2 linked regions of the Styela clava genome follow. The protein of the gene in region 1 interacts with the protein of each later gene in a pairwise test. Links are inferred from orthologs where the notes say so. Each region holds a gene or a part of one and is shown in the gene's direction. Other genes may lie near its edges.

What was found.
Region 2: the proteins of golgin subfamily A member 2-like (region 1) and cyclin-H-like interact in binary tests that used the Homo sapiens proteins (3 or more experiments, as listed by UniProt). The link is inferred for Styela clava from reciprocal best matches to the Homo sapiens genes GOLGA2 and CCNH.

What each region holds. Positions count from the first base shown.
Region 1 is NC_135250.1:8,082,212-8,085,811, forward strand, and holds the start of golgin subfamily A member 2-like, read left to right. Parts: upstream 1-841; 5' UTR 842-952; coding exon 953-3,600. UniProt on the Homo sapiens protein: Peripheral membrane component of the cis-Golgi stack that acts as a membrane skeleton that maintains the structure of the Golgi apparatus, and as a vesicle thether that facilitates vesicle fusion to the Golgi membrane.
Region 2 is NC_135258.1:10,982,140-10,989,373, forward strand, and holds cyclin-H-like, read left to right. Parts: upstream 1-3,311; 5' UTR 3,312-3,392; coding exon 3,393-4,424; 3' UTR 4,425-5,533; downstream 5,534-7,234. Other genes in the region: putative ATP-dependent RNA helicase DDX23, read left to right, coding at 5,542-7,234. UniProt on the Homo sapiens protein: Regulates CDK7, the catalytic subunit of the CDK-activating kinase (CAK) enzymatic complex. CAK activates the cyclin-associated kinases CDK1, CDK2, CDK4 and CDK6 by threonine phosphorylation.

The sequences.
Region 1 (3,600 bases):
ATCAAAATTCCTACAATTTTTAATACAGAAAATACACTGGAGGGCGTTTAGATTTAGATTACGTTGTACAACAGGCTGTGTACAGCCAAAGTGACTATAAAATGTTAGAGTCACTTTGTGTACAGGATAGGATACGGTACCGTTCCGTGTCGGGTATGGGATTAGTTAGTTACCGTATTTATTAGACCGCAAGACGAGTGTGAGTTGGGGTGACCCTGGTAAAAAAGCAGCACATACTGTCATACGGTACCTACAGTACCGGTACTCTTCGACATCGGGGCTTAGCCTAGGTATAGTCTGATAGTGGAGTAAACGCTCAAATAATGCTGAAGAAAAATGTTATGTTAAAATACGGCCCAAATTTTCATTTCTTTAAAATAAAAGTACCGTATGTCTCGCACGATACAGACATAACGATATACTCTCTTGATTTTTTTTTGCATGGAACATACTTGCTCAGTTGTAAATTAAGTAGGCTTGACTTTACTTAAACGCGTCTGTCAGAAATTTCATTCCACACGAGACAGACTTGAAAATTTGACCTCCATATCCACATTACATTTTGTTTATCATTGTTTCAGCAGTTACTGCGTTTATTTTCTATTCACATTCTTGTTTGGCATTTTTTATGCAGTTGAAGTATTTACTTTGCTACCCCTGTCTGCTTGTAGGTTAGAATTATTCTCACATGCCTCACTGATTTCTCTTGGTTGCAGAATTGAATAGTAAATTTGAGGTCCTGTTCTTCCTGTAGCCCACTGTCATTCAAAGATTTCAAATGTCTCACATCAGTCACATGTGTTTCTGTTTAATGGTTAATGACTACTGTAACAATATAGTTATTTCTTTGTTTTTTGCATAACCCTAGAAATCACTGTTATGTGAATTTCCCAACCTATGGTGAGAGAGTGGATATAATAATGAACTTTATGTTCGTGAATATAATAACATTATGGATCGAGAAGCTAAATTAGCTGCCGCAAAAAAGAAATTGCGGCAATTTAAAAAGAAAAAGGGATTGAACAAGTCTCCGAAATCAGCAGAAAATTCAGAAACTAGTTCCACAACATCTGATCGTCCCACACCCACGTCAACACCTACTCAAAACCACGCTGATGATATTTTAGAAATTGAAAAATCTGAAAAATTCATTGACGAAAAGTTTGAATTATTGAGAAATGCTAATAGTGATAATCTGTCAGAAAGCACTGCCGCGACGACAGAAAGTATTCTCCAAGTTTCCGCAAAATTAAACGGAATTGCCGCTGAAGCAGCCATGTTTATTGATGATGCAAGTAGCAATCACAGCAGCGAAGAAAAATTTCAAATTATCGACCACCCTAAGCCAGAAGAACCTGAACAGCAAAACGTTATATCTGCGTTAGAAGTCCGAAATCAAGAACTTGCTTCCAAATTAGCGTCATTTTCTCAAGACAATGAAGTCTTGCGCGGACATTGTCAAAACTTATCAGATCAAGTGCAATTGATGCAAAAACAATTAGAAGCAAAAACGGAATCGGAAAATAGACAATTTGAAGATGAAAACGTTTTTCAAGAAAAGCTACAAGTTCAAATGCAAACGATTAGCGTTCTTGTCTCGGAAAAGCAAGATTTACATCAGGAATTACTAATGTTAAGATCGGAATTACACAACCGAAATATTCAACACGAAAAAAATGTTGAAGAAATGCAAACTATGCGAGAAAAGTTAGCTTCTTGTGTAAGAGACTTACAATCAAAAACAGACGAATATCATCACCTTGAAAGAAATAATATTCATCTTCAATCGCAGAATTCAGATTATAATCAAGAATTGATTCAAACGAAACAGATATTAGAAAACGAAAAAATGCAATCTACTGAATTAATGGGAAAATTACAAACTAAAGTCGTGGAATTTAACGAATTATATAGAACACATGTCGACTTGAAGGAACGTTTTGAAATGGCCGATGTGTTACTCCAACAAATGTCAGCGAATAATAATGCTGATGCTGCTTCTCAACTTAGGAATATACAACAAGAAAACGAAACTCTGAAAACTAGGTGTCTTGATTACCAACAAGCTTTCGAACAGATGAACGCAGAACGTGAACAACTGGATACACAATATAATGATACACGAAAAAAATGGGAGAACGATTTACAAAATTTACAGCAAAAAATATCATTGCTTGAAAATGAAAAACAAGATTTGTATCAGCAATGCATGAATTTGCATGAATCATTGAAAACGCTGAATGAAAAACAGAATGAAGAGAAAAATGAAACGCTGGATAATACGGAAAATAACATTGATAACATAAATGATGCTGTAAATGAAGAAAAACAAAAGGCTGCAACCATACAAAATAATCTCCGAGAGGAAATTACAGCGCAACAGAACACTAACCAATATCTGTCACATTTAGTACAAGAAAAAGAAACTCGTATTTACGAGCTTGAAAACGAGCTTGATCAAGTAAAATCATCTATAAACGAACATGAACAGTTGTTAGATAATGCCCGAAGCGATAAAGTAGCAATTTCTCGAGCATTGTTACAAAACAAGCAACTGAAAGAACAACTAGAAGAAATACAGGATGGTTTTGTACGAATGAGTAACGACAAAATGGATCTTGCTACCAACGTGATTTCGCTTGAACATGTAAATAAAGACTTGCAACTAAAGTATGATCAGAGTGAGGAATTACAAGAACAATTAAGACAAGAATTACAAAGGTACCAATTGGGAATGCATCGCTTGCAGGAACAAAATTCTAATTTACAATCGCATTTGAATGCTGCACAATCATCTCATCAAAATGGAGTTGCGCAACCACCTGAAAACTCACAAATTGAGGCCTTACAACATATGATAGCCCAATTGCAAAACGAAAACCAAAATTTACAAGAAAAATTAAATTCTGTTATAGTAATTAACCAAACTGAAAGTAACTCAGAAATAGAACATGCCAGTACAAATACAGATATAATCAATGATGCGTCACATGACAGAATTACAGAAAACGATTCTACCAAAATACCAGAACCAGAAAACGAGACAATGGCAACAGATGAAGATATGCATACTGAACATAACACCGTATCACATGTTCAGAATCATTTTACCTATCAAATTGAAAACAATGGTGTACAACTTGATGCAATGGCCATTCTACAAGAAAAATTTACTGCCGTAATGAAAGAGAAGGCGGATTTGTTGAATCGTTTAGAACTTATGGAACACGCAAATACTCAACTACAGAACGAATGCGACACAATTGGAGAATATATAGCATTATATCATAATCAGAGGCAGATATTGAAGCAGCGACACAAAGAAAAAGATAAGTATATTTCGAACATCATACAAGAACGCGAAGCGATGCAAGGAAAAGTCGAACAGTTACAAACACTGATCGTAGCCGTGCTTAACAATCGCCAAAATGGGGATGTTGATTTTTCTGCATCCCCACCAAGGTTAGATGAATCCTACACAACGATCGAATCTGAAAACCAACAAATTATAGATCCAAAATCATCATTGATGCAAGAGCAGCCAGATCTTGTACCGAAGTCTGATATTTCTAGGGATAACGATTTAACAACACCAACACG
Region 2 (7,234 bases), on another chromosome or scaffold:
ACTTTTTTATTAAGTTATGCCCGTCCTCCAGGTCCTCTGTATTTTGTTTGTCCCTTTGTTGTTGTTTTGTGTTTTGTTTGTATCAGAGTGACCGAATAAAATTGATTGATTGATTGATTGTGGCAGCTAAAAAGTCAGTCGCCATAGGTTTGGCCGTAGCGGCCATGGTATGGAAATACCGCCATGGTTTTGCGGCAGCTGCAGACGCCATAGAATACTTAAAACTGCACTTGAACGAAAACGAAACGTTCTGATCCCTCTCAATAATGACCATTGTTGGCTGAGTTTTGCAGTGTCAGAGTGTTGTAGCCTAGGTGCGATGTTTGTTTATGTGTAATATTTCGATAATATGAATTGCTGGATAATACTGGATGATGTTTACGAATATATTTGTTTATTATATGTAACTATGTTCTATGATTATTATTTTTTCATCATTTATTTATTTTTACAAAACTGTTATGAATCCACAACGTGGACCTTAAAAAAAAAAAAAAAATATTTCGATTTTGCCATTCCCTCGGAATGAGTAAACGGCGGCTCTGTATTATTAAAATACGGATGCTGCATCCCGGCCAACGTTAACCACCGTTTGCGATCAAAGCACTGAAGCATGTGGGACATGTGCAGTGCTGCTATTTAACCAAATTTTCCTGTTTATCAGAATAGATTTGAGGTTAGTAGGTCATAGCAATAAGCCACTGAATTTGACTCAAGTTAAAAGCTAAATTGAAATGATAGCCACATGGTACTGAAGTATGGTTCATTTTATTGTAGGTATTGCAAATAGACTTGGTTTGGTTAGAATAGGATTTACATATTTATCCCGTGGGAGAGGAAAGCCGATACGACGGCATATCCATATGGCGAACCATGGCCTCTTGTCCGGTTACCATTCCATGTCGGGACTTGATGGTGGAGGAAGCCGTAACCGACCAGCGGTTACGTGAACCACCCTATGACGGCGAGGAGTCCAGCAATCCTATCGCACATAACCATCCTGCATGGGATTCGAACGTGCGAACCCACGCAGAGTAATTAGAGGTGCGGTGGCGAGCGTATTCCTAACGCTTAGCATGATGAGCCACACCGCCGCGCCTTGGTTTTGATCTTCTATGTCTATATGCAGATATGCTTGGCAGCGTGGTGCTTAAATAATATGCTCGCCACCATACTTCTGATTACCCTGCGTGGGTTCCCAGGTTCAATTATGTGCGAGAGGATTTCTGAACTACTTGTCGCTAATCCCATACCCGACATAAACTGGTAACCGAACGAGAAGCTGTGGTTAGCCATTATGATTGACCTGTCTTAATGACTTACCGATCCGCCGGGATTCATTTGTAAATCATATCCTGTTTCAGCCTTCTTTATAGTCAAAAGTTCTGTGCAGTGCAGGTATACCAACCAATACAGCAGTAACAAAAAATTTTATGTTGTGAAATTAGACTACAAGATGTTCTTGTTTTATAACCTGTTGTAGAAGTGAAATGGAGAAGAAGATAACTATCATAGATTGCTTCCCCAAGCTTAATCAGAAAAAGATTTTGATTTATTACACCATTCGTGCCACAAGAGTAACAATTCTATCATTTGGATATCGTTATATTTTGTTATACGCGGATTCAAGGAAGATAAAAACATTCCGTTTACCAGAAGAAATAACATGTGGAACGATTATCAATATTCCTACAAATGAAACTAATACCGCTGGAAAAGCACTATTATGTGGAACTTGCAAAGGTTCTATTTTCATAATACTGCTTCCGACAACTAAGGAAGCGTTATCTATGTTGAAAAAGGAAGATGCTAGTTACGGCGAAGCTGTCATCAAGAGAATGACTTCTGTATATAAATATAAAGGGATGTATATATTCGATGTTGTATGTAGTGGAGGAAATATACTTATAATTGGTAAAACTGCTAAAAAAGAATTTAAAATGATATTATTTAACCCAAACATACTCCACAATGCTTTGTCAGAGTTGAAAAATGGTGACAATTCGAGTTCTACCGAAAAAGATTTTCATTCGTTTCAGTCTATTTCCATCATGCCTTCTATTCAAGTCAATGATTCATGTCTGAATATTGTCTTATTCAATACAGATGAAAATCCTTTTATTCCATATTTTAATTCACTCAATAATATCCAACATTTGGATTCTTATCTGTTTATGTCTTTATTTGGAGTTAGTTTTAAAACTTCACCAGTTGTTTGTATTTTTTACCCTGGGGGTGATGTTTGGTTTTGCAGTCTTGCTGTTTATGGCAGCTCACAAAAACAATTACATCGTCTTTGTAATTTATCAGAATCATGTGCAGCAGTATGCCCAGTAGTGTTGAGCTCGAATTTTGAGCATGGCTCCAACGATTGTTGTAAAAATGATAATGATGAATCCACTTCAAAACCGGGTCTAATGCTCGTCGGATACGAAAAAACTGTATGTGTGCTTCACTCCTGTGCTTCTCAAGTATCTAAGGACAATGAATTTCATATTTGCTGGTTAAATTTATCCAGCAGTATTAAATCCTTCATATTAGAAAAAAATAATTTATTATCATTTTCCCAAGTTTTTCTTCAAAATATATCTGATTTTACACGGGGTGTAAATATGTCCGCCACCTGTACATATTTCTTTGATGAACAGCAAGTTGGTATAAAACAATTTGATACTGTATGGACTTTTCAAGAATACGAAGACAATTTTTCTATTGTAGTGGTCAATGCCAAATACCTTTTACAGGAGTATTCATTCGAAACATCACATGATTCTATTTCAAAACTATTGAGTGATCTACCATCTCTTTGTAGCCAGAATGATGAATTATTAAATAAATCAAAACAATTAACAAGTATGCTTAAAGCTTTGTCGCAGCTTGCTTCTTATCTTTCATTAGAAGTTGATGATACTAATACGAATGATTCTTGCTATCAAATAACCATTGATGAAGACTTCATTTATATCAAAATTACTAATAAAGATGTTGGAGCTGTACTTGAACCATTCCATTACAATATACACGCTACAATAAATTGGGAAGGCGTTTCTAAGGGTCGTACGCACTGCATAGCAACAAATAACTTCGAATGGGAATGTGGGAAAACTTTCAAAATTCTTCGTTGCGAAGATGATATTGGAAATTCAAAAAATAAAATTTTTGTCAGGTTATTTGCAAATATTACTGGGTTTAACAATATTGACGTTAGTACATATGGCCATGTCGAAAAAAGGTTGAGTAAAACTTTTCCCCTTCTTTTTTGTTTGCGTTAATATTACCGTAATTCCTATATTATAATAGTGCAAATTGTTTATTAATTTTATTTTACAGATTATAAACTCTTTTAACAATTAAATTAGTTCTTATAATGCATTAATTACTTAAAACTGGGAATGTATCATTCAAGTACTCAGCGGAAATATTGGACGTTTAAAAATGATTCAGAAATATCAAAAGCACGAGAGCAAGTGAATCGAGTTTACAGACAATGTTATGTGGAAAAAAGTCCTGAACATGATATTAATGATGATAGTTTCTTTCTTACAGTAAACGAGGAAAGACAATTACTGCGATGGTATGATGACAAACTAATAAAAGAATTCTGTAGACATTTTAATCCTCAAATCCCTCTTACTAGCATTGGAACAGCATGCCAGTACATGAAACGACTTTACCTTCGGTATTCTGTTATGGATTATAATCCAAAACTTATGATGTTAGCTGCGATATGGCTTTCTTGTAAAACTGACGAATTTAATATTTCAATGGATCAGTTTGTATGGAATGTTCATCATTTGTTAAAAGGAGAAGCGAGAGATCATGGCGAAGATTATGCTCGTAAATATGGAGATGCAATACTTTCTATTGAACTTATTTTAATCAAAGAACTCAATTTTCACCTCACAGTTCATAATCCATTAAGACCATTCGAAGGGTTTATTATTGATGTAAAAACTAGATATGCAGGAAGAAATATTGATAAGATTGACATGCTTCGAAAACCTGCAAGGGATTACCTATATACATCCTTTTTTACGGACGCCCAGTTGCTTTTTACTCCTTCACAAATTGCATTGGCATCGTTGCTTTCCGTAGGATCAAAACAGGGTATAAATTTAGATGCTTACGTCACGGAACATTTATTGAAAGGCCAACCGCAAAACGTGTTGGATGATACAGTCAAAAGTGTTAAAAAAATTCGATCCATTATTAAGAAATGTGTTAAACCACCATCTGAATCTGTTGCTATGGCAATAGAACAAAAACTACAGTTTTGTAGGAATAGAGAATCCGATCCATTAACTGAAGAATACGCTAGAGTAAAAAATCAAGAGGATGAAGAAAGAGATAGGGTTGCAGCACAAAAATGGAGAGCTGAAGCACAAAGACAAAAACAAATTGAAATGGATTTACTTGCTTTTTAAAATACATCACTATCAGTTTTAGATATTATTTCATTTTCTCTAAAATTTGCAGTAGCTACCATAAACTGTCCAATGGTTTTTTTGGAGAAGGAAATGACCCTGATAGTTTCGTTTTCTGTTTCAGATGTCCAGTAACATTCTTAATGAATTTAATTATTCTAAAGTACGAATTTGTAGAAAATAAACCATTCATTACAAAGTACCGTAATGTGCTGATTTGAAATACCATAAAGCTGTCATAAACCTTTTAAAGAATCGAGTCGTGCATATTTCAATGTTTTGGTTTAATTAGAATTTTATTGAATTTGTGTCCAATTTCACATGATTTCCTCTTTTTATATGAGATATGACATCAGTGTATATGAGAAATTATCTAATGTAGGCAATTTCATATATCATATGCATGATTATTCCCTATATCATTCTATACTTGGTGAAGTAATAGTTTGACTGGTGGTAGCCAGGTCGCACTCTTTATGCAATGGCATTTTTGTGTCCACAATACTTTGGATGATTATGGTTTGTGTGGTAACATATAACTGCCTTTTTATTAGTGTTATTAAAGATATTTGACTAAAAAGCAGATATTCTGATGTACATGGTAAAAAATGAAGTGATTTTTTGTTCCCATGGCTCTCTTGGCTCTATATGGTATAATTTATAAGCAAAAACTATGGTTAGAAGAAGTGATTTACATCTAAAAGGATTTTCATTTTCTGAATCTAAGTTTTGACAGTGCATTACTTCATTTCCATGAGATTGTTTCAAATTCACACCCAATATGGCAATATCTAAATAGAAATTATTCATGTGCTAGGCGTATACTGCTTTCTAACTGTTTGTGCCTTTTTTTGTTTGTTAAATTCATCAAGTAGTTGTGTGTACCACTGACTAATTTAATTGCCGAAATGTAATGCTTATTAATCTCCCTTCGTTATAGATAGTTGAAAAAAGTCAATGTTGTGTTTCTATGCTTGTTGTTGTGTTTCTAACCACATAGTCATTTCAATAAAAGGTCTGCAGTGATTTTGATGCTTCACAGCTTTAATGTTCCAATCATCCTTTCTAGATAATGTGATTTATATTTTTTTGTTTTTCATCTTCACAGAGCATAAATATGGGTAGATCCAGATCTCGTTCCAGAGAAAGAGACAAGAAAAAACATCGATCACGATCTAAAAGATCACGCTCAAGAGAACGAAAGCGTTCTCGATCAAGAGAACGTAAGAAACATGACAGAAAAAGATCCAGATCTCGATCAAAAGACAGAGATCGAAAATCTCACAAGTATAGTCATTCAGATAATAATAAAACTGATAAAGAATTAAAAGAGGAAAAGTCACAAGATTCTCAAAATGGAATGGTAGTTGAAGAGGAAGAAGATATTCAAAAGCCAAAGGTTCAACCTCTCAGTCTTGAGGAAATGCTTGCCAAAAAGAAGGCGGAGGAAGATGCTGCTGCCAAGCCAAAATTCACTACCAAAGAGGACCGTGCTGCAGCAGCAATCGCCCGAAGGCAACAAGAAGTCGAAGAAAAGCGAAAACAAATGGATGAGATGCGTAAAAAGCAGAGGGAGATATTTAGCGAAGGGAGAAAAATGCTTGAGGATCCATATGATCGAGAACGTAGAGAGCGCAAAGAACGAAGAGCCAAAGATGATGACGATGAACTAGACAAGAAACGTATCGATAAAGACGCAGAGAAAGAATTGTCATCAATCAAAGATCGATACCTGGGTATTGTAAAAAAGAAAAAACGCGTCCGACGTCTCAACGACAGAAAATTCGTGTTTGATTGGGACGCTGGTGATGACACTTCTGTTGACTTCAATCCAATTTATAAAGAAAAACACGAAGTTCATTTGTTTGGCCGTGGATTTATTGCAGGCATTGACGTTAAAGTCCAAAAGAAGTCACAATCACAATTTTATGGAGAACTTATGGAGAATCGTAGAACACAACAAGAAAAAGATTTAGAAAAGAAAAGGATGGTAAATGCTTTGAAAAAGGAGAAGAAACGATTGTGGGATGATAGACATTGGACAAAGAAATCTTTAGAGGAAATGCAAGAAAGAGACTGGAGAATCTTCCGTGAGGATTACAGTATAGCTACTAAGGGTGGAAACATTCCACCACCTTTACGATCTTGGAAAGAATGTAAGGATATTCCAGACGAACTTCTAGCAATCATTGATGGACTTGGTTACAAGGATCCAACTCCGATTCAACGACAAGCTATTCCCATCGGCCTGTTGAACCGTGACATTATCGGCGTTGCAGAGACTGGTTCTGGTAAAACAGCGGCATTTTTAATCCCCCTCTTGATATGGATAACATCACTGCCTAAAATAGAGAGATTAGAAGATGCAGATAAAGGACCATATGCAATTATTTTAGCTCCGACTCGTGAACTGGCACAACAAATCGAAGAGGAAACCATAAAATTTGGTAAAGAACTTGGAATGCGTACTGTTGCAGTCATTGGAGGTTTATCAAGGGAGGACCAAGGTTTTAAATTGCGCATGGGATGTGAAATTGTTATTGCAACACCAGGTCGTCTTATTGACGTCTTGGAAAACCGCTATCTGGTATTGAGCCAATGCACATACGTTGTTCTTGACGAGGCTGATAGGATGATTGACATGGGTTTTGAACCTGATGTGAAGAAAATTCTTGATCATATGCCAGTGACAAATCAAAAGCCTGATTCAGAGCAGTTGGATGATGATTTACTAATGCGAAGCAATTTTCTATCAAAGCATAAGTTTAGACAGACTGTCATGTTCACTGCAACTATGCCTCCTATTGTTG